Lepisosteus oculatus: one gene and its partners. The protein of the gene in region 3 purifies or fractionates together with the protein of the main gene of each other region. This does not show direct contact. Links are inferred from orthologs where the notes say so. Each region holds a gene or a part of one and is shown on either strand. Other genes may lie near its edges. The genes, in order: hdac3, sin3aa, skia and E3 ubiquitin-protein ligase RMND5A.

The links.
Region 1: the proteins of skia (region 3) and hdac3 purify together in Homo sapiens (affinity purification with western blotting; 4 studies listed by BioGRID and IntAct, with this or other methods). This does not show direct contact. The link is inferred for Lepisosteus oculatus from reciprocal best matches to the Homo sapiens genes SKI and HDAC3.
Region 2: the proteins of skia (region 3) and sin3aa purify together in Homo sapiens (affinity purification with western blotting; 3 studies listed by BioGRID and IntAct, with this or other methods). This does not show direct contact. The link is inferred for Lepisosteus oculatus from reciprocal best matches to the Homo sapiens genes SKI and SIN3A.
Region 4: the proteins of skia (region 3) and E3 ubiquitin-protein ligase RMND5A purify together in Homo sapiens (affinity purification with mass spectrometry; 3 studies listed by BioGRID and IntAct, counting the BioPlex papers as one, with this or other methods). This does not show direct contact. The link is inferred for Lepisosteus oculatus from reciprocal best matches to the Homo sapiens genes SKI and RMND5A.

The regions. Positions count from the first base shown.
Region 1 is NC_090706.1:38,473,140-38,480,925, forward strand, and holds the start of hdac3 (histone deacetylase 3), read right to left. Parts: upstream 3,023-7,786; 5' UTR 2,839-3,022; coding exon 2,784-2,838; intron 1,802-2,783; coding exon 1,719-1,801; intron 1,255-1,718; coding exon 1,112-1,254; intron 355-1,111; coding exon 273-354; intron 1-272. UniProt on the Homo sapiens protein: Histone deacetylase that catalyzes the deacetylation of lysine residues on the N-terminal part of the core histones (H2A, H2B, H3 and H4), and some other non-histone substrates.
Region 2 is NC_090700.1:60,643,348-60,651,174, reverse strand, and holds the start of sin3aa (SIN3 transcription regulator family member Aa), read left to right. Parts: upstream 1-4,806; 5' UTR 4,807-5,057; coding exon 5,058-5,170; intron 5,171-7,827. UniProt on the Homo sapiens protein: Acts as a transcriptional repressor. Corepressor for REST. Interacts with MXI1 to repress MYC responsive genes and antagonize MYC oncogenic activities. Also interacts with MXD1-MAX heterodimers to repress transcription by tethering SIN3A to DNA.
Region 3 is NC_090720.1:4,150,445-4,157,747, forward strand, and holds the start of skia (v-ski avian sarcoma viral oncogene homolog a), read left to right. Parts: upstream 1-4,299; 5' UTR 4,300-4,847; coding exon 4,848-5,753; intron 5,754-7,303. UniProt on the Homo sapiens protein: May play a role in terminal differentiation of skeletal muscle cells but not in the determination of cells to the myogenic lineage. Functions as a repressor of TGF-beta signaling.
Region 4 is NC_090696.1:35,728,877-35,735,738, reverse strand, and holds the start of E3 ubiquitin-protein ligase RMND5A, read right to left. Parts: upstream 3,011-6,862; 5' UTR 2,996-3,010; coding exon 2,881-2,995; intron 2,763-2,880; exon of another isoform or gene 2,676-2,762; intron 2,585-2,675; coding exon 2,426-2,584; intron 1-2,425. Other genes in the region: E3 ubiquitin-protein ligase RNF103, read left to right, coding at 6,773-6,862.

The DNA of each region.
Region 1 (7,786 bases), on a different chromosome or scaffold from region 3:
AGGATACAAATGAAATCAACAGAAAGAGACCCCTATCTCTGAAATGCGAACAATGCAGCCCATTTAACAAGGAAAATGGAGTGAACGACAGCCTGACTTGCACAATGGTCCTGGAAAGAGCTCGCGCTTTGAAACAAGTACTCAGTTGGGAGCAAATCCAGATGAGATGCACGTTCTCTCGTCGAAACCACCACAGCACCGAGCGGACCTGCATGCTCCTCTCCTGGCTGGGTGCACAGCTAACAAGAGCATTTTGCCTGGGCAGACAGTACCTTGTGGTTTAACTGCGTTGCTCCCTGCAGAGAGGCTCCCGTGTAGCGTGAGCAGAACTCAAACAGGCCAGGAAACACAGGACTGGGCAACGACAGGAGACAAGAGCATTAACTCACACATAACGGAGTACTGAGAATGACTCCACCACTCACCATCGTGATTATAACCATCGCAAGCAACTATTCTGCACCAGCAGCCCCAGGACATAGCAGGCCTCTTCTTCTCACAACGATGTCTTCTTTTTAAAATGTCTATAGGCTTGCTCCCATGTGAAGAAGCAAAACCAGATTGTAAGCCACGCGTGTTCAACTGAAAGAAACGTTCTGGACCAGAAGGCAGTTTTCTGTAGCTCAAGAACGAGGCTGTGAAACATGAGACACCAAGCTATAACCTATAGCCAAGTACAGACAAAAGCCCAATCAAGCAGGCAGATCCATTCAGGACAGCCTCTTCTTTCCACAGAGATGTCTTCTTTTTAAATGTCATCGTATTTCTATAGGCTATAGGCAGGACACACCCTGGTCGGGACACTAGTCCACCTCTGGTTAGACAGACTCAGAGACACACTCACACAGGGGGGTCAACTTTCCCAGAAGCCAATGTACTTCCCACTATGTTTCTGGACTGCGGGAGGAAACTGTACACATGTGCACACCGGGGGAACATGCAAACTCCACACAGACAGCGCACCAGATTCAGAATTGAACCCAGAGCCCCAGCTCTGCGAGTCACCAACTCTAACCATTGCGCCCACCGTGCTGCCTGCAGGCTTGCTAGCATATTTTCGTATTTGAAAAGACAAATATGTCCAAAGACAGAATAACACCCCTGTACTCACCAGTCATCCCCAACGTTGAAGGTGTTGAGACTTTTGGTGAAGCCCTGCATGTTGTTGGGACTGACCTTTTGCAGGAAGTCGATGTAATCTTCCGAGTGAAAGCGGCACATGTCATGTTGGGAGGCTTTGTATGGCTTGAACACCTGAGACAGACAAAGACTTCAAGGGCACTGTATACTGTACAAAGAGTACAAACACAGCCGGTGTGCAATGGTACCAAGGGGTCTGGATGCACATATATCCAACCAAGGGTTGTATATACAGATCATTACCTGTAAATACTCTGGATTTAAAAAAAGGCCCAACAATGCAAATACATATACATATTTATATAGATTCTTCTTTGAACATTAGCAGTTGCGGGCCCCTGACCTACACTGCCCTCCACATCTGCGCAGGCAACATCTACATTTCTACTCCAACTCCGTGTCAAACTCTGCCTCATGTGCAAACACTTCTGTAACTCCACACATTTTTTAGATCGTGTGGGCCAAAAACGCCTAAGGCATAAATTCATAACACACAAAATCATTAAAACCCCTTTCTTCAAATGAGATGAAACTCCTCACTGCCAAAATTAATCTTCACTTTGGGGAAAAAAACATACCATCATCTTCTTGTAGAGCCCATAGTGCAGAACAAGACTGTGGGTGAGAGAGAGTCGATGGGGTTTCATTGGGTGTCCAGCACCTTAAAAAGGGCACAACCAAAATGAAAGAATTATTCATTGGTATTGTAGAGTAAGTCAAACCAGAAGCGTAAACGTACAGAGGGTGGGAGAATGTGATGCGTTTGTCAATGAGAGAAAACTGCACATCGCCTGTCCTGGGAGACAACAATGTCCTTGGGTTTTCCTGTCCTGGATTCAGTGTTATTCCCAAGGCAAGATGTTGGTTCCAGGTGCCCTTGTTTTCTCCTACAGCTCAATCTCGGGCTTACACATTAACTGGCATTTCTACGATTTCCCCTGAGATGGACTGGAAATCCCTCATCAGTTCACCATGAAGCAATACTGCACTGAGCAGCTACTGTACATAAATGAACAAATTAGCGGTTTAAGCGGGATAAAAATGAAAGGGTTTGTCATCTTGTCAAAATTGATTATTAAAACCTTTCTTATTCAGCCTGTCGGGCCCAATACATACCTAAATAAGGATGTCAAAAGTAAAAGCAACACAACAATATATCCCTCGGTAATTTCTACCACAAGCTCTGCAGCCTTGTGACGGCACGAAAAGCTATCTTTCTTTAATTTGCCGGTTTTGATTTTTGTTTTTTGTTTGCTATGCGGAGGTACTGAAATACAAATCGACGATCCGGCCGTCCGGATGTTAAAATGAAAACGAGGCGCCTGTGCACTTCAGAACCGCACATGTCAATATGAAAGGAGCAGACATATTCTAAAATGAAAATGGGCACTGGAAATAATATTTACTGAAGGAGAGGAGCTGTCTGAGTGGGTTTGAACTTCATAAAGGCTTCTGCAACTACAGCTGTAAATTAGTATAATCACCTGCAAAGTTCAGAAGGGAGATATCGATCATCACTCGTATAAAAGTTCAGGACCGCTGATAAATTATTTCACGTAGTAAGTAAGACGGTGGAAAGCTGGGGCTAAGATCGGAAATTTAATGCAAACGATAAAATAACAGTAGCCACAAGCCCATCTTACCGTAATGAAAGTTCCCCACGTCTGGGTCGTAAAAATACGCCGTCCTGTTCGTCATCACAGCGGAAAACGAACAGAGAGTGTCGTCCAGACAGCAGTGAAGGCAGTCCTTCTTTTTTGTACTTAATTTTCAAGCAGGATTTCTAATTCACTCTAATTCAGCTTTCTTTTTAATTTACCAAATCGCCGCCATAGTAAAACACGGGAGACCTGTGCGGGACGTCATCAGAAACAGCAGATGGTGTACTACGTCACGAATATGCGTACGTATGTTTATGTGACGTAGACGTCGAAAGTGGCGGGGTCTCGTATTAAGGAACTTTCATTTCTATTCATGTTTAAAATTGCGATTAAGCGTTTAAACATCTTTGCCTCGATTACCGAATATAGAATAAAAATAATTTCTGATATCGGAAATATTTCAAATCGTATTCTTATCGGTATTTTATTTTTTTCATGAGAAATTCCGTTTTTATCGTTGCGCGTCAATATGTCAATATTTGATATATCAAATATTGATATCCGCGTGTTAAAACATATTGAAATCAAAATCTGGATATCAAAAAGCACAGGTGATGATTAGTTCATATAGAAACACCATACCCAAATATGTTCACACGGCAGATCTGAAGAAAGTTATAATCGCACCAATCTACTATAAGAAATCGATTTTTTTACATCGATAAACGAGTATTACATTTTATAACGACGTGTAATGTGAAATGAGTATAAATTCATATGAATCTTCAATCATATCTGACCATACTATCTTCTACATTTGTTCCCCACCCCCACGACCCTTGGTGCAAAGACATGCCTCCCGTGTCACGGTTTTAGCTGCTTTGCCACGTAGTTTTTACTCGTGTCCCCCGATTCGTGTTTCACTGTTCATTGTGAAGAAATGTTTTGGTTTACTTTTTCCAGCGCCTTTCACGATTTCGAGTGTCGGGTCCTCCTGTATTCCTGTATGTTTCAGAATGTGTTGTTCAAGTCTCTCTATAATATTATACTATATATGCTAACAAATTCTGTAACAAGACTTCGCTTACTGGTTGTATTTACATAACTTTTAAAGAACCAGGCAGCCCATCACTTCCTTGAATCGGACAAAGTTTAAATTCCGACTTTAAAAACGCACAGCTTAAAAAAGACACAGGTCCTGCGTCCCCCCTGTTCGAAGTCATTCTGAGGATAATAACTGTTAGGGGAGTCCCGTGAAGAATTTTGTTTTGCTCCTTACAATCTAGAACATGTTATCTCGGTGTAGTGGGGTCTAAAATAAGCGAAACCACCCAGATTTCACATAGCTGCAGCTACAGTAATATTACCAATTCAGTCTTGCACAGCAACTACAGTGCTGATAATAAACAACACAGCTGCCACCCTGAGAATGACAGAGATACTATCCTCTATCCTTTATGGTAAGGGGTTTTAAACTTCCAGGGGTGAATGAAACTGCCTTCTCTATTGATATATTTCTATGCTGTTACAATGTTTTCAAGTCGTTTTAAAGCTCTCCCTTATAGAGCTGGTCTGTGTATCGTCTAGTCAGGGCGAAAGTGCCACTACGTTTCCCATCGGGCGTATGACATTTAAACGAGTATTGTGTGTATTTATTGTGTGTGTGTGTGTATTTATGAGCAAGCAAAATATTTATGGAAAAATGAAAATGAAATGGTGAAAGGGAAAGAAACTGTCTTCAGGTGTCAAAATATGTATGGTTCATTCCTTAACCCTAAAAAAAAAAAACTACTTTTTAGACCACGCTGGATGTACACTTTTTGTGTAAGAGTGAGTCCCCCCCTTTTCATATAACGAAGCAAAAAAAAACATTAACTTGAAATGCTATCTTTTTCTTTACATGAATAAACTCTTTTAAACACGGAGCAATACCGATGTAGTCGATACATTCCAAAAAGGGCAGTTTTTCGTTTCAGAAGGAGACTGATCTCACAGTGCACGCTGAGGTTCATTTACAGTGAAACGGTAAAGCGAGACCAAAGCACAATATATGATGATAGATACGACCGGTGATGAAATCGTTTCTGAAGTGAGGGGGTTTGCATATCACAGAAATTGAAAGAGGGGCAGCTGGCCGCGTGTCTCCTTCCGCACGCAGCACTCCCATCCAAAGCTTTGAGGTTTTTTCCCTTTAAATAACTTGCAGGAGATTCTCTCCCTCCCTCGGTGCGCCTTCAGAGCAGCGCTCGTCCGGATCTCGGGAGCACCGCGCCGCTGGATGGTCCCGCACAGGAGCAGCGCCGTCCAGTTGTAAGCACCCGGTAAGCGCAGGTTCCTCCTCTCTTAATCTGCCGTTAGGACGAAAGGGGCGACTAGGGGGCTTCACTGAACAGCAGCCACTTGATCGGCGAGGCCAGCGGGCGTGCGGGGAAGGTGGGCGGATGAGAGAGCTGGGTGCCTTGGCTAGTGTTTGTGATGCGGGGCTGCAGGAGCAGGGAGAGACGGCTGTGTTCGTGAAGCAGAGGGCTCGTCTTGCAGTTCCGTCTCATCTCATCTTCGGGGCAGCAAACGACCATTAAGCATACTGTACTGCCTTTCCTATGACGTTCTTACGCCCCTCAGACTGAGATTTTTTTTAAAAAATATATATATATTTATAGGATTGTTTATTTTGAGTGGGAATGGAGAATGCTATTAATATTGAATTATACCCCCCCCACACACACGCAAACCATCCCACACTTCGCAGAGATAAAAAGAAACATGTTGAAACGGGCTTATTGGTGAGACATTGTGCCCGTATTTGTGACTGTCTTGCCACGGTATTAGACGGCTTTCAGCAGCGCCCTACTGATGCAGCCCACGGTGTCCCCGGAGTCTGACTCCAAGCCCAAGGGCAGGTGTGTCACCGGCCGCGCTGGGCCCACCAGATCATTATCAGGGATCAGAAACTTGGAAAAGATGCAGGCTGCAGCCTGCATCTCCCTAGACCCGCGCACGGTGTTGTTTTTCCTTCTCTTCCCACCCCTGGAGTCTCTCTCTCTCTTTTTTTTTTGTCATGGCGACGCGAGGTATTGGAAAGCAGTTAAGTGACAGGAAAACCTTTTTCTTTTTAAATAAAAAGACCTTGAACACCGTTTTCGTGTGACATCAGGGCGCGGAAATTAGGAGCGTGTCAGTGTGTGTGTGTGTGGTGGTGGGGGGCGGTGTATGTGAAACATTTAACAAACAAGGGTGGTTTTAGTGCAGAAGGGAGAAAGTTAACCCTTTCGATTTAATCTTCATTGAAAAGCAACGAAGCTAGATTCTCCGCAATTCGTGACGCCCGTAGCAAACAAATCATGAATTTGTACATAAAGATTTACGGTAATATTGTTTAAAATTAAACTGCCTGTTAATTTTATTATTATTAATAATAATAATAAATGACACATTGTAGCATTTATTATTTTCCAGTTGCATAACTCACAATGCAACTCTAGAATGAAGTTATTTCTCGCATTAGGGATTGATGGAATTTTTCCACAGCTGGCCACTGTGGTTGTCATGTGGATACTGTATTAAATCAAGGAACCAGACAAATTCTCATTTCCCAAGAATCCCTGACCGCTAACAGTCCTCACATGAGAAAAAGTACAGAGCAGACGGGATGCTGACCCCAGTCCATTCAGGCATTTTCAATTGGTGCCTGTGTGTCGTTTTTTTTAAATAATGATTTCAACTTTGCGTCTTAATGTTCACTAGGAGTGGAGGGTGTGGTTACAGTTGACTCCGGTTTGTACCTGCTTAGCCGCCTCCGTCTACTCTAAAGCATTCAGGATGTGATTTGAGAATACATTCTTCCTTACCCGTTTTGTTTGTGATTTGGTATACGACCATCATCAGTACGCTAAACGCGCCGAAAATATGTTTTACAAGGGCCGTGGGTTCATTTGGAAAATAATGCTGTTGTGCTCCAGGTACAGTACAGTACAGGCGGTTAGCCACGCCAGGCAATATAACACTTAAAACCCAAGGTCACCATTACTGGCACAACAACACATGCAAGTGTGCTTTATCGAAAGCCTGCGAAGATGTTTACAGGAGAAGCAATCTAATGCATCTGTATCTTTTGCACGGGCAGGGAGCTGCTGTAACTTTGCTTGGTTACAGTGTTTACTGTTACAGAGTTCTACTTCTCCAGCTGTATAGAATCTTACATGAGGACGAGGCACAGTCACAGGGAGCTCAAATGCTTACCATTTACCCTACAGTTGCTTAGACACCTCTGCACATTATGAAGCATTAATGAGCAGACTTCAGTGTTTCACAGCAACAGTAATTATGGTCGAGCCAGGACAGACAAGGGCAAACAGTGCTACCCCGAGGCCAGGCTGTGAAAGCTGAGCCCTGAAGGACAGACGCAGCTAAATCAGTTCATTAGAGATAAGAAGAACTGCTGTACATGCTGGGCAGTACTTAGCAAGACTTCATAATTAGCTCACTTACTGCTGGATATTTTATATTTTCAAATACAGGTGTAAAAAACAGTTTTCTGTTTTTAACCTTGGCTATAGAGGATGATGTTGCAATCTAACCTCTTGCTGTGGCAGTAATAATATCATCGTGATCACCCTCATCATCGACATCATGAACGCGTTTATTCCAGACAACGTCAGGGGCACACTGTTTCTGTTTTGGGACGAAATGTGTTGAACATGCAATCATTTCAGAACGGTAACGGTTTTCTGTGTCTTTTTACAAGCAGCGATTCAAAACTCTTTCCAAAAACGTTTGGTTCCCCGAAAGGTGCAGAACCCCAGAGGGTGGCACAGTGGGGTGACAGGTCACGTGCTCTGTGCTGTCTAACTCACAGCCGGGAGCTGTTTCAGCGAGTAGCACATGAAGGAGCAAGCTGGGGCGGTGCGTGCCGCAGATGTTTGTGTGCGGGAGTGTTTTGAAGGCCCGGGCTGCTCCCTCTCGCTGTTTCAGGGAAACAAGGCTGTTTTTCTTCCTACGGGTCAGACAGGGATCAAAGGGTGGAGAGGGGAGGGGGGAGAAGGCAG
Region 2 (7,827 bases), on a different chromosome or scaffold from region 3:
TCTACAGTAGGTTAGTTCTACAAACTAGATATACTCTAATGTTTTATTTTAATCTTTTCATTTCTGTTTACATTTTAGATTGTCATAGGTCTTAATCTTGATCTGTACTGCTAACAATTATATAAGCAAAATGATAGGAATGTGCACTAGTAATAAATTATATAAGATGACAAAGACCCTGAATGTTTTTTTAAGGGTAGATGCCAAGTCTTAAAACTGGACTGAATTGGTCTCTCAGTTCTAATCACTTGGATTGAAGGGCTTCACTACGGTCTTTATTCATGATTGCATTGTATGAATCTCGTGTGGTTATGCCATCCTTTCATTTTTGAATCAAATCTCTATATGTGTGGTGTTCCATTATTTAAAAATAAAAATCTTCGGCTTCAGGGTGGACTGTTGGCAGATGTCCTTACAAAAAGCTCCAGAGAAGACAGACGGACACGAGTGCTGTTTACCTGGGACTTCACGGAAACTGCACGTCTTACTCGTCTCTTTTTACAGGCACCATCTCTTAAAAGCATTAAGACATTTAATTATAATAATAATAATAATTGCTTACACTTATTTAGAGGCCTGCAAGAGCTTACTTTACAAAGACCGTTCTAAGTATTACTGTAAATGTCATGACCAGGTGTAGCTTTAAAATCACTTGTTTTTTATGTTATGTTTTGTACGACAGGCCTAGTTTTTTAGGGTGAACCAAGCATCTCTTGATAGACGCAGGACTACACAGCATTTCAGGTAGTATTTGGCGGGTTATATTTAAATAACAATGACGTAATGAATCGTGTTCTCCAATGCCGAGGAAAGGGGGCGTGTTCAACTATTTTGTTACAAACACGAATCCGGAGTGTGAGGCTTCTTTTTTCTAGGTATGTAACAGCTGTTAAAACAAAAATAATTACAATTTAAAAACTCAAACTTTGCAATAAAATAAGTGGGCTACGATTGCGGGCTCGCGGGGTAGTTACTTAAAGAGGGCGCCCCTTTTGATCTTTCTTTGCTAATGTGTTATCGATGTTTGAAAATGAACAAATTCAGAAAGCAGGAAGGGCTGTGTGGAAGAGGAGGGGGCATTTTATTTTATTTGTAGTTTAGGGTTCTGCAAATGCTGATTTATTTTGCCGATGTTGAAGCCGGGCAATGCAGGTCTTTTTTCACACTTGGAAATGCAAAACGTGTAGGAAAGAGATATGCACTGGAGGACAGCAGTATCGAAAACGTTGAAAATATTTCTCCGAAAATAGGAGTAAACAAAGAATTGCAGGGTTGTATGTTGAGACACGGATTTTCCCTGTTAAGTCTACTTGCGGGTTACTGTTGATGCGTATTTAAATCGAGAATCCATACACGGTTATCTTTTGTGATATTCACGTATCCTGATCTTTTTTTTTCCCTCTCTGCTGTCAGTTATATTTTTCGCTGGACAAAACCAAGCTAAGACTTGGCTTAACGCAAAGAAATGTATCTGTGGCAATGAGACCGTCCGTTTCAAGTGTGTATTTGTCTCCGTCGTCACGTTTATTCTCGACAAAGATCTCCAGTTGCGTGGTAGGAAATACGAACAACAAAGAAATCGAGTCCGGTATTAAGACGTTTATGAGCCGATTTGCCGCGTCTCCAGCGGATCGCTTGAGAGAAACCATTGCTTTCGATTTCATTGTACTCTTGGTTGTTTGGAAGGGTATTGAAATGCCTTACGCTAGTGGTAACTTTGTTTTAGATTATACGGAGGCGTTTTAATGATAATGTTTTTTTATAAAATTCGTTATGTCTGCCGGTCTGAATCACTTTCGTCCGAAGAGTGAAGACGGAAGACTTCTCACCAGCCGAAATGTATTCGTCATTGCATTCGTGCTGAAACAAAACCATGGTAGCAAAATGGTTACGTGGTTAAATGCTTAGAACATCGCAACATCGCCAGCAACGACCACCCCCCAGCACAAGTGTAAGAACAAGTAGCTGTGTGTGCAGTAATGTTTATTTATGTTGAATGCACATTTCTGTGAAGTGCTTATGCTTGATCTGAGCCGATTGCATTAATTTTAAAGTAGCTACGGCTCTCCTGCACGTGAAGCGCTTCATGGCAGTACTGTGTGGCGCCCGCTTGACTGTTTATATAGAAAAGAAATTCAGATGGAGGGGGGGTGGAAAAAAAAAAGCTAAGATCTTGCCAAATCCCCATTCACAAAGACCCATACGAAGGAAAGAGTGCGTAAAGCAGGGACGGACGATCGGGTAACCCGCAAAGATTTCGGAGCGAAAGCGTCAGGTCCCTCAGACGCTGGGAATCCCGGGCAGCTTTCTAGTCCCGCCCCTCGTGGGCGGGGATTTATTTCCGAGTTCCGCCTCGTGTGGGAGGGGGTAATTATCGCAGTTCGGACTCTGATTGGGCGAGGCCGGGCCACGCCCATCGAGGAGGGCCCTCCCATGACGTGATGCGCTGGCTTTTACACATTTACGCAGGTCAGTCACGTGGGTCCTATAAATTCAGGAAGTCCGTGTTCAATCCAGGCTGGGGTCGTTGCAGGTTTTGGCAGAACCTCGCGTTCGTAACTCCCCACACGAGTCAATCTGCATGTACGGGTTGTAGGTGTGCTTCTTTCACGTCGCTTCAGATTTAGTTGCTATACGGCATAGTTTGATTTGACCCTATACCAAAGTTGCTCAACAACATAAAACTCGCAGTTTTTGAACCCGGAGATAACTAGCCAGCTACCATTTTGAATGTTATTCACCAATGAACCAATCTTGGTGCAATAGCAATTATTTTTTCTATCGTTCACATTGCATGCTATTGTAACATTGTTTTTGTATCAGTAACGTTTCGTTTACACGTATGTTATTAATTTTATTCTATTGACAGATTTAGCTAAAATGCGTCTTGTTATAAATATATCTTGTAATGGCAGTGAAGAATTGGCGTTTATTTTGCTGTGCAGTGTGCCCTGAGTTCTTATGTGCACTTATCTCACCAGTCTTTTACTGTATTGAGAACACCTGTAAGATTCACGCTTCTCATTTTATGTGTAGCCTATGCATTTTTTTTTAGCTTAGGAATGAGGACTTGAATAATAAAATAAAAAAAATGAAATTTCACCCTGTTGAGTTCACAACTCAATCTGAAAAATGTTCACCCTTTTTTCAATGAAAGATTATTATCGGGAGGTTGGCGATTCAACCCATGTAGCTCATTTTGTTGTTTGTAGTTAAGTGATCTTACTCGCTAACTGCCAGGGAAAAAAGCCAGGTTATCAGATTTGACAACATGGCTAGGCATCTTATTTCAGCTTCCTACAATCCCTGTGTAAAAGAGTGACTCTTGTTGCCAACTTTGGTTGCTGGTCCCCATAACTCCAAATTGCGACCCTTGATCCATGTCTCATTGTCGGCCCTGAACAGGTCTGCTAGAGGTAATGTATCTCGTAAGGAAAGGAACTTGGCCAAACACATTCAGGAAGAATATCAGAATACATCTATACACCTACTGTCATTACTGTGACTGCATGACAGTGACACTAGTTGCCCCTGCTTTTTAGCACTTAGAACAAGTTCCAGTCGAACTGCTGTGGACTTGTACTCGTTTTTATGTGATTCAGCCCCTAACTGAACTAACAGTAACAGTTTACACGATTGGAAACATTGAACGTTTTTTTCTTTACTCAAAAAGATGGAGTTCTTAAGTTACCGATGAACCAGATGCTAAAAAACAATCTTGTTTAGGAACCACAAAAAAGGTTTACATCAATCCTATTAATAGATCAGGTAAGGGTTCACGTTTAATGTATAATGTAACCAAGGTTTTAGCTGGAACAAAATTCAGGTGGTCTATAGATCCCCACAGGTGCAGGAACATTGAAGAATCTTGATAACTTTTAAGGAAAGGCCCACACCACAGTTTAATTAATTTATAAGGATTTTTCTGTTACTGGTTTTTATTTCGAGGGCAGGAAAATTAACACTTTATAATACAATGAAAAGATGAAAGAATAATATAAGCACAGTGTACTTTATAGATCTACGGAAATGGTGAACAGAAACGCTTCACCCTTCTTTCTGAATAGGGAAAATGTACGTATTTTGAAAAAAGGTGTCCTATACAGAGTGAAATGACTTTTACAGGACGTATCTGCCATTTGCCTGAAATGTCAGTTGCATAAGGTTTATGTTCATAAAGACAACCGCGTAAAAAAAACGCTGCCTCGATGGAATAGTGGCTGGTCAGATCTCAGTGTTTGAGGTAAACAAAAGCGACTTGTGCTTTAATTCCATGCAGGAGTTGAAGTGTTTCAGTTCCACAAGTTCGTCAACTCATGCTCGAAAGCGGAGTTGTTTCCCGGTTTTGTTTTGAGAAGAACGACTCAGTAGTCCGCTGTACACTTCAGTTACGAAGTAAAATGCTCATGCATCGAGGCGTTAATCGAAACCAAAGCTGAGATCACAGGAAGCTTGAGTTATCAACGTAAAAAAATGAGAGCCACTTCTCGATACAGCCCTTCCTTCCTTCTAAAAAAAAAAAGTCGGTTTAATGGAGGTCCACTCGACAGAGCATTGTTAGAACTCAACCGGAGAGGCGTAACCCTTTCTTACGTGATCGACGGGGTCTTGAGCCAAGCAGACATGTTGTGTAGTTCAAGTATGTACGCACATGGCCCTCCTACCAGCAACCCCTAGTCTCCCGGAGCCCCGGTTCTCCGGATTTCAATAAGGGGCGGTGCTTTAGCAAAGGATGAGTGACGGGCCGCAGCTCAGCCCCTTTGTGAGGTAAGGCTGAGTTTCCCCTCGACATGGAGTGACAGGACCCCCAGCCAATCAGAGAGAGGAGGTTACGTCCCCTTTTCGGTCTCTTTCGGGCGGAAGCCAATGAGACGCCGGGGTGGGCGGGGATTAGCCCACCTTCCCGGAGCCCCTCCTCTCGGTAGAGAAACGAACGGAGGTTGTTTTCTGAAGAGAATTTTCCTTTTGCGGTCTGGCGCCTGGGTTGTTTATTTTATTATTATTTTGATATCTTTTGGACACAAAAAGTTCTTTTACCCAGTCCTCAGCCTTGTTTTATGGTCGTGGGTTTTTTTCATTTTAATGTTTTTATTGTCTGGAGAGTTTTAAGCAAAACAAATAAAAATAGGTGCCGAGTTATTTCTGTTTCAGGTCGCAGTGTTACGAGGAGGTGAGTTCTTTCAAATTTGGTTATTTTGGGGGGATTTTCGGATGAAGATAAAGAAATGGAAGGATCTTCCGAAATCGGTCCGGTTCGGTGCATAGTTTTTGTTCTGATCTGGCTTCCTCGCTATGATCTCATGGTCAAACTGTGTGCATGTGTAGTGTCTGCATTGACTGCCTCCGAAATGTAATCTGTATGAATACTGTTGGGGAATACTTAAAAGTCCCCCTTTCTTTGGCTTGCGTACGAAAATGACTGCTTTGTCACGGACGCTTATCGGGTTTTTTTTGTCCTCCTCCGAAATGCATGTGCCTTCTTGGCAGGGCATGTAGTTCTCCCGAGCTACGTGTCTGCGGTGCAGCCTTTCAGAAAGACTCCCTTCCCCCGGCGGCGAGCCGACTACGCGAGGTCGGGGCTTGTGGATTTGGAGGCAGGCCGCGCAGGAGCGGGGGGGGGGAGGGGAGAGTTGTGGAGGTAGGGGGGACGGGGGGGGGGGGGGTCGACTGGCCATTCTCGGATTAAAAAAAAAAAAGCTTGAAAGAAGGAAAGAAAAAAGGGTTTCGAGACGCTTTGGAATCGGAGGGTTTTGGTTACGGCGGCGGCCGGGGGGGTCAGTTGGTGGCAGGCTGGCTGCCTGGCCGTGCGGTCCCGACCGTAGGCGCCCGTGTGCCGCCTGGGGCTGTGTGGACCGCGGGGCGATGGGGCTGAGGAGTTGTGTGACGGATGGCCAGGCACTTTTGCCAGGAAGGACAACAACGCATCATCCTCACGATGTAATAATAATGACCGCGGTGCGAGGCCGGGCGGCGTGATGCGGACGGTCCGGGGAGGCAGCGCTTTGATTTCACGAATAAAAAAAAAACACATTCGTGAGCCGCTGAGCCTCCAGCGCCAATCCCAGCGCCGGCCCAACAGCCCGGAGTTGCGACAGCGGTGCCGGCGTGTGTGGGTTTGAGTCCGGAGTCTTTTCGATCGTTTCAAGGACTTTTGATGGAGCAGGTAGACTGCGCTGGCGGGCGGGGGGGGGGCTGGGGCAAAAAAATAACGGAGATCGGATCTGCCCCCCCCCCCCCGCCTGGTTTGACTCGGATCTTGAGCGCAGTCAGGGGTGTGCTTTTCCCCCCCGGCGCTTGGGAAGGCAAGATCGTGTGGTATCCGGCTGATCGTTCCCTCCGCCCGCGATGGGTTACTGCGGTGGAAACCGTGAGTTAAGTTTCTTAAATGACCATTGTTCGGTGCTGGGGAGCAGTTCGCCTGCCTGCTTGTCGGCGGGGGGGGGCACCTGGCCCGGGAATTGAACGTACACACCGCGCACGTTGGTGGGACTGCGGTGACGTCACCGAGATCCGCAGCATGTGTTGCCCGGTGGCCGTGGTGGTGGAAGCAAACGAAGTCGGGAGAAAACATCACTAAATTGCGCCGCCGAAAATGCCGTGAATCCACCCCCAAGAGACTAAACGCTTGTCTTGCTCCTCGTACCCCCCGCCGCCGTAGATTACAGTGGTCGAGTGGAAAGAAACATCGCCGCGCTTTCAGGGGGTTGAGATACACTGCGTTCCCAGAGTGGTATTGATTCGTTGCTAGTGAATTTTGGCGGATGGGGGTCCTGTACCCATACAGCTGCCTACTGTCTTCACTGATCAGATCTTGGCTCCTTTCTGAGATGATCTGTTGCTCTCCTCTCCAGTGACCCCAAAGCTGTTCATTACTGTTCGTGGCACAACTCACCCTAGAATCTGCCCTTCGATTCTGTCATTAACTTTAGCCTTAAGTCATCAAGTCAGTTGGAGTTTAAATAATGAGGTTAACCTGACGACTGGCGAAAGAGTTTGTAAAAATCATTTTTGATTCTGAGTCTGCTTCAGATTCATCTGTCTTAAGATCTCATTTGGAGCCACTCACATAGCTGTGCTGAATGAGAAGATAAGATCACTTTATTGGTCATATACAATTTCTTGCATTAGGAATGATAAAAAGGTGAAGTGCAGCAGGGCTTTTTTGAAATGTAACCTTTTCTTCTTCCAAAGCAAAAAAATCTTAAAAGTGCCCTTTATCGCCCTCAAAGTCTCAGTCGAATTTCACAGGCTCGGGTGGTAACTGTAATTCTAGTCCTTTCTAGTCATGTACTATTTGTACCCTGTTTTCTACCGCAAATAACTTACTCGTCTCTCTAATGATCTGAATATATAGCAGCAAAGGGGTATTAATGCAAGTGAAAATGATTTGCCATGAACAGATATTTACTGAACCTATTTGTGTATATGTAGCAGCTTGAAAAAATAAATGTGTACGTGCAGATTTAGTACATTTGCAGGAACCAAGTTAATCACTTTACAAAGCATCTTGTGCAAACTGAACATGACTGCCCATGAAATACAGTAATGCATTTTTACAGTCCGTTAACATTCCATGATATTGATTGCATAGTCATGTCATGTCCAAGAATCAGTTTTACAAGGCCTCAGAGAGAAAATTGTAACTTACTTTGGCAAACTTTGTCAGCAGAGACGTTGTCTAAATAATACCAAGCAGATAATGCCTTATATGCTACAGGGGTCAAAGATATTAACATTTCTAACAAGTTTTGGAAAATTATTTTAGTAAGATGTTGGTCCTTTCAGAAGTTAGGAAAGTGCTACAGCATTTAAATTAAGGTAAGTCCT
Region 3 (7,303 bases):
CAACAGACAACAGCTTTAATGGATACAAACAACAATGTGGTGTATTTAGACATTTGTGGTGTATTTGGTGAAGTTTCGCCATGATTAATTAAATGAAGAAGAATTAATTGGAAGAGCTGGGATATTTCTGCTTGGGAATCAGTCCAGAGATGTGCAACCAAATACATTCCCATGTATTCTAGTGTGGATTGTTCTATACTGACAGGGTAAGAGAAGTTCATCATTTTAGTGGTGAGCAGAGTGGACTATGGGAGAACCCTATTTTTATTCTCAAAAACATTGATAAAGTAAACTGAATGGACTTCTTCAGAATCAACAGTGGAACATTTGGAACACACAGGGAATGTGTGTTTAAAACTGAGAATAGAGGACATGTTTTGTATATGGACATTTGGAAAAAGCAACCCAGAAGGGCTGACAAAGCTGATAACGTGGCTTCATCAAAGAAAAGCCCAAAAGTGATCCTTGGGTCAATTAACTGATATCAACCAAATGAAACGAAGTGCTAAATGGCCTCCTCTCATTTATAACCTTACTAATAAACTTATGTTCTTTGATATTTCAATGCCTAGAGCTGGTGCTTTTGATATCCGTATACTAGTATCTTTGTATTCCCGACCCCTTAAATTTCCACATGTGATTTAATTGGCTAATAAATTTGTTGGAACTCTGTCAATTGGCTGCCATTTAACAGGGGATAGCTACACTTCTGTGGTGGATACAGTCCTCTTCTGCCTGTAAAGACCCATTAGATCCTTGGGAAACATACAATATTATCACCATTATCATCAGGAAAATTATTCCTTTGCTCCAATTCAAGAAACTATCCTCTATTAAGTAATTGGGAGCACTTCTGCATCGGTTTTACACAATGCTTGGAGGCCATTTGATGTTTTCAATAAAATATCGGATAAAAGAACAAAGGAAGAAAATATGATAGTTCCTTTGACCAGGATTTATTTTCTCTTTAATAAAATCCATTCAGCAGGGACCTACTATATATATACCGCTGTGAAGAAACCCACTCCTTTAATAATAATTGCTGACGGGTATTATTCGCGGGTGATGAGTTCATGTGAATCAAGCAATACATCCGAGATTTTAGATGTGAAGTCTCCACAGATATCAGCTTGGATTTTCCCCCCAGTTGGTTTGAAGTTGTGGTCCCAAGCAACAGAGGTTTTTCTGATTCTAACTCTTCTTATCCATTAGGGGTTTATCTTTTCGTGAAAGGATATGTGAGAATTGTGAATCCCAGTGTTCTGCTGGGTATGTCTCTCTTAGTATTTTCATAATAATGTACACTTTATGAAATGAAAAATTCCACGAGGTTGCAAAGCTTGTTTTTATTGCTGTTGCCTTCCATGTGCAATGTTAATAAAAATACCATTTTCAAGCACATTGTAATCACTAAATGAAGGAACAAATTAACATGTGGTGACTTACATCTTGTTATGAGAAACAATGTCATGAGAATCTTTAGCTGAAATATGTACTATTTCGCCCAATAAAATGTGCTATCTCAATCATTTATATATGGATGTGTGAAAACAGTACAATCGTAACAAAAATCAATAATACTAATATTCATTTTGGGGCAGCATGATGGCGCAGTGCTTAGCAGTGTCACCTGAAATATCCGAAAAAGACAAATCTGGCAAAACATGACTTGAATTTATACAGGCGCATTTTCATTTGAAGCTCAACAAAATGTTCCTGATAAAAAATAAATGTACCTTATCAACCTACTGTGCTACTACAATATGGATCTGTCTCCATATACTCCTCCCACTCTGTATTTCCTGACTAGACATGGTGACCCCATTTCCTCATAATGACTGTCCCAGTGCCACAGACAGTGCAATTACATCACTGTCCTGCTAGAGGGAGCTAATGATACAGAATAATCAGTTTAGCTTCTCAATCCCACTTATTGTCTCTGACAATTGGACATATTTCCAGTGTAACTGGCTGAAAGGAATGATTTCACTGCATAGAGGAAATTGGAATGCATTTTTTCTCAGACATTTTTATGGTTTTGTTGTTGTGAAGCTTTAAAATCTAATTAAAAGGTAATACTTTTCTTACAAACTCTTTAACACTTTTATTTCATTAAAAATATTAATTGAAAGAAATGTTCTACATGTTTTTTTTGGTAACACATGCACAAAATAGGCTATAAGTGTGAATGTGTTCAGTATTAATTATTTCCCTTAATTGTACATTGTAGATTTAATAAAGCTCAGAACATGTACTCTAATGTATTACTATCACATAAAGTTTTGAAATTGATTACATTCATCTGAGAAATAGCAGCACTTGTTAATTGCATAAAAATCTTTTCAAGTGATAAAGGTATACCTAAAAACCAAGAAAAAATCCTGAGATGACACGGTTTTGTATTTTTGTGTAATCATATCCTTTAAATGAAACAGCACTAGAAATGCTATTTAATTATAAGATTAGCCCCCCACTGCAATAATCAGCACATCAGGAAGGGCAACTCCTGAATCAAGTTGTTCTGGGGCAGTTCATGAACACGATCCATCACCCAGTCCACCCAGGTAGTCGAGTGTGTCTTTGACAAAATCCAGGTTTTAAAACCTTTCAGCTCTAAGGCTTTATTTGACCATGCTTGCTGTGACCCCCTTTTTGTGTAACTCGTAAAACTGGACGGGTAAGAAAAGGCGACACATATCAATGTACATTGTGACTGCCTTAGCTATGGTGTTCATAACTCTACTTGGGGAGGGCCATGAGACACAATAAAAGAAGCAAGAACAATAACAGAGAACTCAATTTAAAAAAAAAAAAGAACGAGGAGCATGATAACAATAACACCAGGCCCTTTCCAAAATAAAGAATTCTTTAAGGAACTGTACCAAACTTTAAGCCATTAAAGGACTTAGGAGGTATTTAGTCAAACAAATTCTTCTTGGTTTCAGATGAATAGGAATGTGTGGGTGGATTGGTCTTATAAAAGTGCAAACACCCACCATTTTCATTCTCTGGTTCAGAAGTTTAGAGTCCATGTGTGTTCCTAAGCTGGCCTTGAAGATACATGTGTATGTGTGTGTGTGCTGTGGTAGGTGGGGGGACTTATGTTTTAAGTTACATTCTTCACTCTGATTTGAAGAAAGGCAGGCATCCTTTCTCCTTTTCGGAATGGTCAACAGCTGTTGATATCAGGGAATCATTTCCATGCCCCCCCGTGATGATCAGAAGTCATCAGGAATGGTTAGTCCAGGGCAGTTGAAGTCAAAGGTGTGCCACCTCAAAAAAGTTCTGTTCCCTGCAACCACATATAGGAGCTCTGGGGCAAGACAGGGTTTTCTGTGAACTCCGGCTCTATTTGTGGCTTTTTGCAGGAGCATTTTGGAAGAATCTCTGGAGCAAAGGAGAATCTCCGCAAGGAAAGTATTGTTAGACATGCCTTGAGTGCAAATGCATTTGCAGTTTACAGTCCGATAGGGCAAGTGCATGCTGAGACTGCAGTACACACTAAGCACAGACATCCAGAAATAAAATCTCTGTTTTCCTTGAATGTAAAAACGCTGATACGCCTTGTGTTTTGCTGCACTGTCTGGTCTGTGTTCAGATTCGAGGGGTCTGAAAAAAGCCAGGGGTTCATGAAGCCCTGAAGATCAAAATGAGCCCCCGTAGTTTACCATGATCATCATGAAGGGACTTTGCAACTAAATAAAATGGTTTGTTCAGAACTAGCAGACCTAGAAGATGTGGAAAATTGGTGGAGCAGCCTCGTGCAAAAAATATTAAACAAAAATCGGCCAAGATTCCCCCTCTGCGTTACACGCGTGTGTCCTTAATGTTTAAGAGCGCTTTGAACATAGAACCTACTGAGCACTGGAACTGATTAAACAAAACGAAAAAAAATATGTAAGCACGACTTTAAAAAAAATAAAATTCTTGTATGTGACAAACATCAGACTTTATTGCTTTACTTTCTGTCACTAAATGTTTGTAAAGGACTACTTTGGTCTATTTAAATAAAAATAAATAAACCGCAGTCACTCGTAGAATTTGCATTTCTCCTTAACGTCTAAATTAGACGTCTGTTGCAAACTCCACCCTTCCTCTCGGTTTAGCTGCAGACATTCTGAGCTGTGAACCAAGTGATTCACCATGCCCTGTGCTCAAGTCTCTTTTTTTTCCTTCCTTTTGCAGCAGCACGGGGCTGAGAAGAGAAGAGGGGGAGTGACGACATGTTCTTGGAAGAGCCAGCCTGGGGAGTCAGTCACATACTTGGCTGGGATTCAATGACTGAGCCAGACACACACAAACACTGAGAAAGGGGGGCTGCGAGGGAGAGGGAGAGAGAGAGAGAGTGAGCAAGCAAGCCTAGCTAGGTTGGCTGGCTGGCTGTAGTTGCACAGGCATATCATTACTGCAAGGGCAGACAGTGTGGATGTGAATTCTACCACTGCAAAACAGAAACGAAAAAGAGAGGCAAAGAGTGTACGGACTTTACAGTTTTGGGAAATTCTGAAAAACAAAGTTCAGAAGTATAGGTGGATACTTTTTGTGGAAGCGAGAGGCGCTTATTTTTTTCTTTATTGTGGATTGAGAAAGAAGCACTGGTGTGGATATGGACAGTAGGGAACCTACTACTGCAGGGGAAGACTCGCCGGTGTTACCGTACGCTTAGTCGGGGGATTGGACGCGCACTGTGTAGGACTTCTTTCTGGATGTTTGATGAAGCGCCTTTTCACCTCTGCTAACTCTGGGAGACCTTGGATTTACAAGGAACCGGGACCAGTGTGGGTTATCTATTGCTTTAGTTCTACCCCGGCAAAAGGAAGTTTCGCTTTTCAAGTAGTAAGTAAAACATGGAGACTGTAACCCGACCAAGCTTTCAACCTCATCCAGGACTGCAACAAACTCTGAAGCAGTTTCATCTGAGTTCTATGAGCTCTCTCGGCGGCCCGGCAGCCTTCTCAGCTAGATGGCAACAGGATATGCTGTACAAGAAAGATGGCAAGGACCCAGAGCCGGTCCTTCATCTCCCTATGCAGCCGCCCCCTGTGATGCCGGGTCCCCTCTTCATCCCGTCAGACCGCTCCACGGAAAGGTGCGAGACGGTCCTGGAGAGTGAGACTATCTCTTGTTTCGTAGTCGGCGGAGAGAAGCGGCTCTGTCTGCCCCAGATCCTCAACACCGTCCTGCGAGATTTCTCCCTTCAGCAGATCAACTCCGTGTGTGACGAGCTCCACATCTACTGCTCCAGGTGCACGGCGGACCAGCTGGAGATTCTTAAAGTCATGGGGATTTTGCCCTTCTCGGCACCTTCGTGCGGCCTCATCACCAAAACGGATGCGGAGCGCCTCTGTAATGCCCTGATTTACGGGGGTACCTTTCCACCGCACTGCAAAAAGGAGTTCTCCGGCTCCCTGGAGCTGGAGCTGACGGAGAAAAGCTTCAAGGTATACCACGAGTGCTTCGGGAAGTGCAGGGGACTTTTCGTGCCCGAGCTGTACACGAGCCCGAACGCAGCCTGTATACAGTGCATGGACTGTAGGCTCATGTACCCGACCCACAAGTTCGTGGTCCACAGTCACAAATCCTTGGAAAACAGGACATGCCACTGGGGTTTCGACTCCGCCAATTGGAGGGCATACATCCTCCTCAGCCAGGATTACACGGGCAAAGAGGAGAAGGCGCGCCTCGGGCAGCTTTTAGACGAAATTAAAGAGAAATTCGACTTCGCGAACAAATACAAGAGGAAAGCCTCAAGGGTAAGTTTCGGCGTGTTAAATGCTCGGACCTTTTGCACTGAAGGGCTGTGACAGGGAGCTGCGTGTTGGTGTGCATGGAGCCGTACGGGGTTTACGGGACAGCTTGGTCCGATTATACCGATCGAGTGCGCCGAAATGTTCACCTGAAGCTTAATTCACGAAATGTATGTGACTAATGCTTTTTTAGTCGTATCAAGAAATGTTCCTAACTAAATAACAATACTGCACCGCAGTGCAGAACTTCAGCTCTTCCTGCTAGACGGAATGTATTACTTTTTTTTTCTCGTCGGAGGCTTCCACGTTCCTCGCGTAGTGCATGGGTCCGATGTGCTGTGTTCGTCGCTTTAGCCGAGAAGAATCAAACCATGGGGGCTTAAATCATTTCTCGTCATTTGTGCAAAAAAGATATTTCGCCGTTGGCCACCGGGACGGGTGCGAGTCGGGATGTTGTTTTTGCGGGACACCGTAACACCTAGCGCGGTCACTTGACAACATTAAAAGTGTGTGCTGGCGCAAGCTGTGGTGAAGTTCATTATCAAATGTAACAAACAGTTGTCACTTTGAGTATTTTTGTTTTTTGTTAGGTACTGAAAATCCAAAACATTGAAAAACAAATGCGTACTATGTAACCATTCATGACGTTTCAATGGGAAACGGATGAAGCAGTAAGATTCGGGCGACAACTGAAATGACCTAATTTAAAGTTAACATATGGCTACTAATTAGCTACGAAGAATAACTAAACGCCTTTACGGTTATAAAGCCATTATTTGCTTGTGTAGTAGCCTGTCTTAGTAGGTGTGAAAGTCTTCTTATGCGCATTCGTATTCTTAGAGTGTTCAAATCCGCGGTAAACACAGACGCCTATCTGATATGAAGAAGTATGCATTAATGAATGTATTCTAATAGTAGCCTTTAATAATAATCAGAGTTTGATTCTTCTTGAAGCACAGTTTGTTTGGGTTTTCCATAGATTTCAAGAGATAAGAGGATTGACAGCTGGTTATGTTATATCAGGAACACCAACGGAGATTTTCATTGAAAACGCTTCGCATGGAAAAAATACCACTTTCACCCTCCCTCTGCAAGGTGCTACTGTTGCCCGCTTACTCCTCTCCCTCTTCTCCGAGTTCTGCATTGCCTTTCGCCCTTTTGCGATGTTTTGAAAATGTGAAAATGTTTAACATCGGAATCTCAGGTATTCGGAGGTGAATGTGTTTTTAATGACGGGCCCATCCCCGCTTAATGATGTGCTACTTAGCAAAGGTTGGATTCACGGAGGGTGGTCAACAGCGGTGCTTTTTGGTGGGAAAGATGCCAAATGTTGTGTCTGCCACGAGGGCTCGGTGAAAGTCCTGAACCTCGGTGTTAGTTTAACACAACGTGGTGAATAGATAGCTCACAGAGGTTATTTGCCCCACATAACCCTCTATTTGACTGTAGAATCCCAGAATCCCGTGATTTTCTCATTTTATTGTGTTCTCTCTATTGTCCGAGGGGAAAATAAAACGTCAATGTTTCAGCCACAAAAAATGTTTTAAAAACTTACA
Region 4 (6,862 bases), on a different chromosome or scaffold from region 3:
TTTAACTCTTCCTCTGCAGATAACACACGCTGATGAACTCCCCACTGAATTTTCTTTAAACACAATACATTAGTAGGTTTCTTGCACAAATACTGTTGACATCCATTAGCACTGGCATGCTGCCTTTGTTGATCTCTGTCTGTTCCTAAAGCAACCAACCCTGGGTGGCTCTAGGAACAGACAGAGCGGTTCATACAGTGCCTCCCATCCCCCAGAAAGAGGCATGCGTGATTGCAACATGTGCATGCACAACATGGAAAATGCTACTATTTCACAAAACAAAAAGCATTTGCAATGGCAATAAGGTATACACTACAGAAATATGCAAAGGAACAAGCAACAGGTTTATTCCATGCTGGAAAAAAGAAGAAAGAAAGCACGACGTTTCGGCCATGGAGCCTTTTTCTTCTTCTACATAAATATTATTTAGATTTTAAAGAAAGTAATTAAAAAGTCATTTTAAAACAGTAGCAAAGGATTACTCCAGAATTATGTTTTGACCTTTCCATTGTTGTAAGCTTTTTCGTGTGGGGAAATTCTGGAATCCTCCCACAGTCCAATGACATACTGGTGGGTTAAACGGCTTCTGAGAAAACTGGCCCGGGTGTGGGTGTGTGTGTGTGGGTGTCTGCCCTGTGATGAGACTGTTGCGCTTCTTGCTTGCTGGGATAGGCTCTAGCTCCCCCATGACCCTGAACTGGAAAAAGGGGTTAGAAAATGGATGGATGGATGGTATTCTGATTTTCATGCTGCCTAGAGGTGTACTCGCTTAAGGCACCATGTGTCGACCTTCCCTGCAGGTCTGGACCTTTTGACAAAGAGAAGGCACACTTGCTTTTGGGGGCGGTACTGTAAAGGAGACTCTATTACCCACTGCCTGGCCCAAGCTTATTTTATTTAAAGATGGCATTTTGAAATCTGAAGATTCAGATTCAAAGAGGACACTCTGTTTGGAGGGAGAGATAGTTATCTGAACCTGTATCTATTGAATGGAATTATATTCATGCTATATAACGTGTTGTATATGTTAGTACCACAATTCGTCTACGTTTCTATATTGATATCTTCAGAATTATAAAAAAAGTTATACGGCCTCACAAATCAACGGGTAACTTTAATTATTCAAATAATTCTTCTCCATCACTTTGAAAACTCGGGAATTTTGTCTTTAGCTCTGAGGGAATGGACACCTTCGTTTTGTGTTTAGGGACAGCAAAACAAAATATCACAGATATAATTTAAAAAGTGCTGTATAGTACTGGGTCAGATAAGACAGACATTGTTGCTGAGGGGCTGCGAAAAAATAATTCCTGTTCAGAACTAAAACTGAACGGGGTACCAAGCTAGACACGTCCACAACTCTATAATAAACACTCTCTTTTCATCCCAAGAACCATTATGCTTCGAAAACCTTTGGGGAAAAAGAACAAGGAAAAATCCCGGACGTTTTACGATATTTGAAAATTCCTTGGAGATTTAAGGACCAAAAAGGATGACATGTCACGGCATGTCCATGAAAAATGGCCGTATAGCAGTCCAGGTATAACTGTAGCATAGCGATCGATTATGTAGCATATTAAAACGTCGTTCTTCAATTCGTTATGGAAACAACACCTCCCGATACGCAATAAAGCAACAGGTCTGGGGAAATAAGTATTTTCCCAAGTGGCGCTTGTACGTTGCTGTACTAAACCTTTGCTCTTCGTGCTCTAAAAACACGACCATGTGATATGTTATAGTAGACTCCTGCGCCAAAAAACGTTTTCTTCAAACTCACCCGAACACATGTTAAATGAAAAGGGTGTCGCTAAAAGATCATTTGCACTAAACGTCTTTATTAAGAAGCCTAAGGTCTGTACCGAGTATTGAGCCACTACTATTTCCCCTGTACCAGAAGGAATGGAAACGATCAGTACAGTTAAGGAAAGCCACATACAACCATCACTACACAGGACCTTCCAATACAAAACACAGAAACGGCAAGTTTAAAAACACTTAAATGATAAGCACGCTTTTGACTTCTATCGGGTTTTCAGCGCTTCGTGGTTTCTTTTCAAAATGTTAACTAGTGGATCATATCCGCCACAATGTACAGTACCAGTACTACACTGTAGTTACTGTACCGGGTGTTTTGCTGCACTGAGACGAGACAAAATCGTGAACGCAGAAAACACGTGACTACTCACGGAGGCAAGAAACAAACAGGCCTAAACGAAACTGTGCGAAACCGCAATCCTGCGGAACTGGCACGTTTACAAAGCAATCGGACATCGAAGTTTTCTACACACCTAACCTGGCTGTAGGCCTTCGCCCATACAACTAAAACGGGCTGACCATTTTTCATGGGTCTGGAAGATGATCTCACGACAGCTCGATAAACACAAAGATGACATTCCACGTTTCCCTCATCAAAATATAAACTCACCGCCAGTCTGTATTATCTCGTGTTTCAGGCCACTGGTGTACTCGATCAGCTCTTCCAGTGTCCTATCGCAGTGCTGCCCGTAGCTCGAGAATTTCTGCAGCACTTTCTCCAGCTCCCGCTCCACATTAACACACTGATCCATGACGCTGCTCGTCTGCGCTACAGAAATACAATCAGAATTTAAGAAAGGGAAAGACACGCAGCGCCAAACACGCACACGAAAAAAAAATCAAAACCAAAACACCTTCACCTCAACTTTGGCGTAAGCAGAATGTTTTTGTTTTTAATGGACCTGAACATTGACCCGATTTCCAAGGGCGACACCAACAGGCTGGCACACAGGGGGGTGCCGAAAATATTAGGACCACGCGAAACATAACCAATTTTTCAGTATATACCTAAATGCAAAAATATATCTAAAGGAATAAGGTAGAATTTGTAGAAGCTTTAGTTACCTGCTGTTCTTAAGCAACACAGCACATTTTTATCAGTTATCACGTCCCCTGCTGTACCACGTGACAGGACCGAGCGAATCGCGTGACTGAGCGTAGCGGAACTTCCGTTTGACATCCCGAGTCCGCTCGGTCCGTGGCTTGTGTTTGTTTACCAATTTACGAAACTTCGTAATGATGTTTACAAATCGAAGTTTGTGTGACATTTTGAATATAGCTCCCTTCATCAATTCAGTGTGTAGTCATATAGATTTTTTATCCATTTATTAATGACCTACACGCACATTTTATTAACTGTTTGGCAGTAATATTATCGAACTACTCTGAAATCAGTGACGCAGCGAAGAGTTGCGCTGAGAATGTGGTTACACCAGAACTGCCACCGAATGCATTTAGCGCTCTGCACTTTGTGCATACTGATATGAATTTTGATCACATTGGTTTAAAGTTATGTTTTGATGATTATTTTACGTTTGACTAGCCAATTATATTTCAAATTAGTACTTATTTTGGAGAAAGGGGACGAAAATTAAAGAGAAGATGTGAAGCTTTTTATATTTATAAATGAGAGTTTGTGAAAAATATACACCTTAGATTTAGCAAGATTTTATGAATAATTAACAAGTGCAGTGATACACGTCTAAGTCAAGACTCTTAAATATTTTGTAAATGAAAACTTGGAAGTAATGTGTTATATACAATAGTGTGCAAAAGTCTGTGTTAATAATAATAATTACACTTATATAGCACTTTTCTGGACACTCCACTCAAAGCGCTTTACACCACCACCACTTCATCCATGTGCAGCATCCACCTGGATGATGCGACAGCAGCTCACCACACATCAGCTATCAGTGGGGAGGAGAGCAGAGCAATATAGCCAATTCATAGAGGGGGCTATGATTGGTAAGGGCCAATGGGAAATTTGGCCAGGACGCCAGGGTTACTCTTTTCAAGAAACACCCTGGGATTTTTAATGACCACAAAGAGTCAGGACCTTGGTTTTACATCTCATCCGAAGGACGGCACCTGTTCACAGTATAGTGTCCCCATCACTATACTGGGGAATTAGGACCCACATGGATCACAGGGTGAGCACCCCCTGCTGGCCCCACTAACACCTCTTCCAGCAGCAACCTTAGTTTTCCCAGGAGGTCTCCTATCCAGGTACTGACCAGGCTCACACCTGCTTAGTTTCAGTGGGTTGCCAGTTGTGAGTTGCAGGGTGATATGGCTGCTGGCTCATGTTGTGAGAATTAACAATTTACTCAAAGTCTCCACAAGTGTTGTGTAGTAGTATAACAAATAGAAGCTTGTCATTTTATTCATATTGGTGAGAATTAGCTAGCACCAGTATAGAAGAACTTGAGGTAACTTCCACATGAGTAGCACATATACAGGTAAGTGTTGTAGTAGTTAATTCTACACATTTAATAAATTTAATGAGGTTTTCCTTAGTGGGAATATCATTTAACAATAATAGTTAAATGGTCTGGTCCTTTGCTCATTTTACCCCGGACTAAATCAAAGACTTTTGGTGACTGTACCTTTTCTGTTGCTGCTCCAGTGTTATGGAATGACCTTTCTCAGACTCTACAACTTTTTTAAGATAACTTTTTAAAAAGCTCTTTGAAACGACTCAAAACTTTCCTTTTACCAAAGTCTACATCTGGTTGACTACATCTGTTAAACCCTGTATGCACTTGTTTATTTTTGTGTGTACTTTTTATTGTACTTTAATTTGTTTTTCTTTATTCATGATGTACAACGTCCTTGGGTTTGGAAAAGAGCTTTATAAATAAAAGTGTATTATTATTATTTATTTCTGTCCATACATCAATAAGCTTACAGGCTATGTTTGCATTGCAATATACAGATCTATCAGATTGAACTTATCTTAAAATGCAATGGCTATACTGTATATTCAAGAGAAGATAGCTTGAATTCTGTTTCTGCATAAAGCAGGGAAAACACTAAATGAAAAGGATAGAACAGTTTTACACAATAATGTGTATGTAAATACAGAAGAAAATAGTAAAGAAGGAAAATCACCAGAACAAGTCGGGCAAACATAGTAGAAAATACAAGTTCCTAAAATGTTTTTTTTTTGGAAGTCTTCACCCACTAGTGAATTGACTGAGATGGACAATGCTATATTTTTTTATTAATAACAGACACGATAGCCATGTAGCCATGCCATGGCTGAGACTTTTTTCTATGTGTATTTCAGTTACAACATTTAAAAAAAAGACAATTACTAATTTATCTAGGCACTACTTACTGCAGAGCCCAATAAAAAGTATGTGCCTGACTGATGATGACTGTTGTGTCTCTGCAACGGATGCGGTGTATTAACTCATTACATATATGACTATTTAATAATTTAATACAATAAGAAAACTGAGCTTTAAATTTCAGAGAAGTTTTGCCTATCAAACTACATGCTGTTTGGAAAGAAATTTAAATGAAAATTCTATACAGTTGCAAGAGAAGGAGAGGGAAATCACATTCTTAGTGCAAATGACTCACACAATTTCAACTGCAGTTTCCTCCGAGAGCATTCGGTACTTAATAGCTGTCTTAATAACATGTATAGCATCTGGAATATAAATAATATTTTTAAAGTGCTCATTGAAAACTCACATTCTTTGCTCCAAAAAGATATCAGTTATCCAACACTTAGTTGTACACAAAATCTATTTGACTAAAAACAAAGCATGTTTAATTGCCACTTTTAATACCTACTCTATTGTAAGAAGCTGATGTAGCAACTGCAGCTTCTATTCCTGCCTCATTTTGCCTATTACACATTCTGTATATTGGCAGGATAGAAAGCTGCAGTGTCTCTGCCATGTATGTTTGAGCATGTGGGTGTTCTGAGGGTTTGACATGGACACTGCTACACAACACAGAAGCGTTTGTTGTACTGTGAGACCAGATCTGCTGTTTTGTGAAGATATTTTCTAAAATACCATTCTTGGAAAATGTCAGTGCATTTTAAAACAAACCTTTTTAATGCTGCTAAACCCACGTTTTGCGATCTTTTCAATTTATATGCTAACATTAAAGTAATTCTGTTCCAGGATTCTTACAGTTTACATCACAACTCTACTAACCATATTTAAAGAATAAACACATCTTCTAAAGTCAATTAAATGTATTGTATCCAGACATTTTGGTCATGGTTCTTAGTTTGGTAAGTTTAAAAACGGTTTTAAATTACCACAGCCCGTGTAATCGGTTTATACTCTTACAGTATGCTGGAATCCAATGCGTGATATAAACAAGGTTTATTTTATTACGAATCCAAAAGCTTCGCTTCTTTTCCATTGGAAGAAAATGAAACAAGTCTCGTCGGTCCTTCCTGTCGGTGACGTCATGTTGTTATGCATGCCAGCTGATCTGGCAGGCAAGGCGCTCCAACATCAGCAACTGTAGGGACAACGGCAACTATCGCTTATCTAAAAATGCCGTGATCTGAACTCGTCATTACATGTCATGAATTTGCTCACAATTGGCACGCTGGGAGGGTTGGAATAAGCAGCAAAAGCTGACCATCTTATTGTTTTAGGGAGAGCGTAAATTAAGCTTTCGCACTGTATTTGATTTTTTTTTCCCCACACAAGACAACTTCTGAAAATGGTGGACATCCAGAGACTGTACAGTTGGCCTTAACGGGCCTTGTTAGCTCGCTGATCGTGGAGAGTGGATTGCTTCTTTGTTTTTTAAAAGTTTCAAGTTCAGCCAGCGCTAAAGGGGAAGCCTGCAAATGAAAGCAAGTCTTAGGAAGAAATAGACGAGCCCCAAATGCAACGTAGGTTACTCGCCTATTCCTACCCGGAAATCGTAGCGCCAGCGTTTTAAAAATATTCCCGTTGCAGCAAGGAGGTGGAAAATGTGGCTGAAGCTGTTTTTTCTGCTGTTGTATTTTTTGGTCTTATTCGTTCTGGCACGGTTTTTCGAAGCTGTCGTGTGGTATGAAACT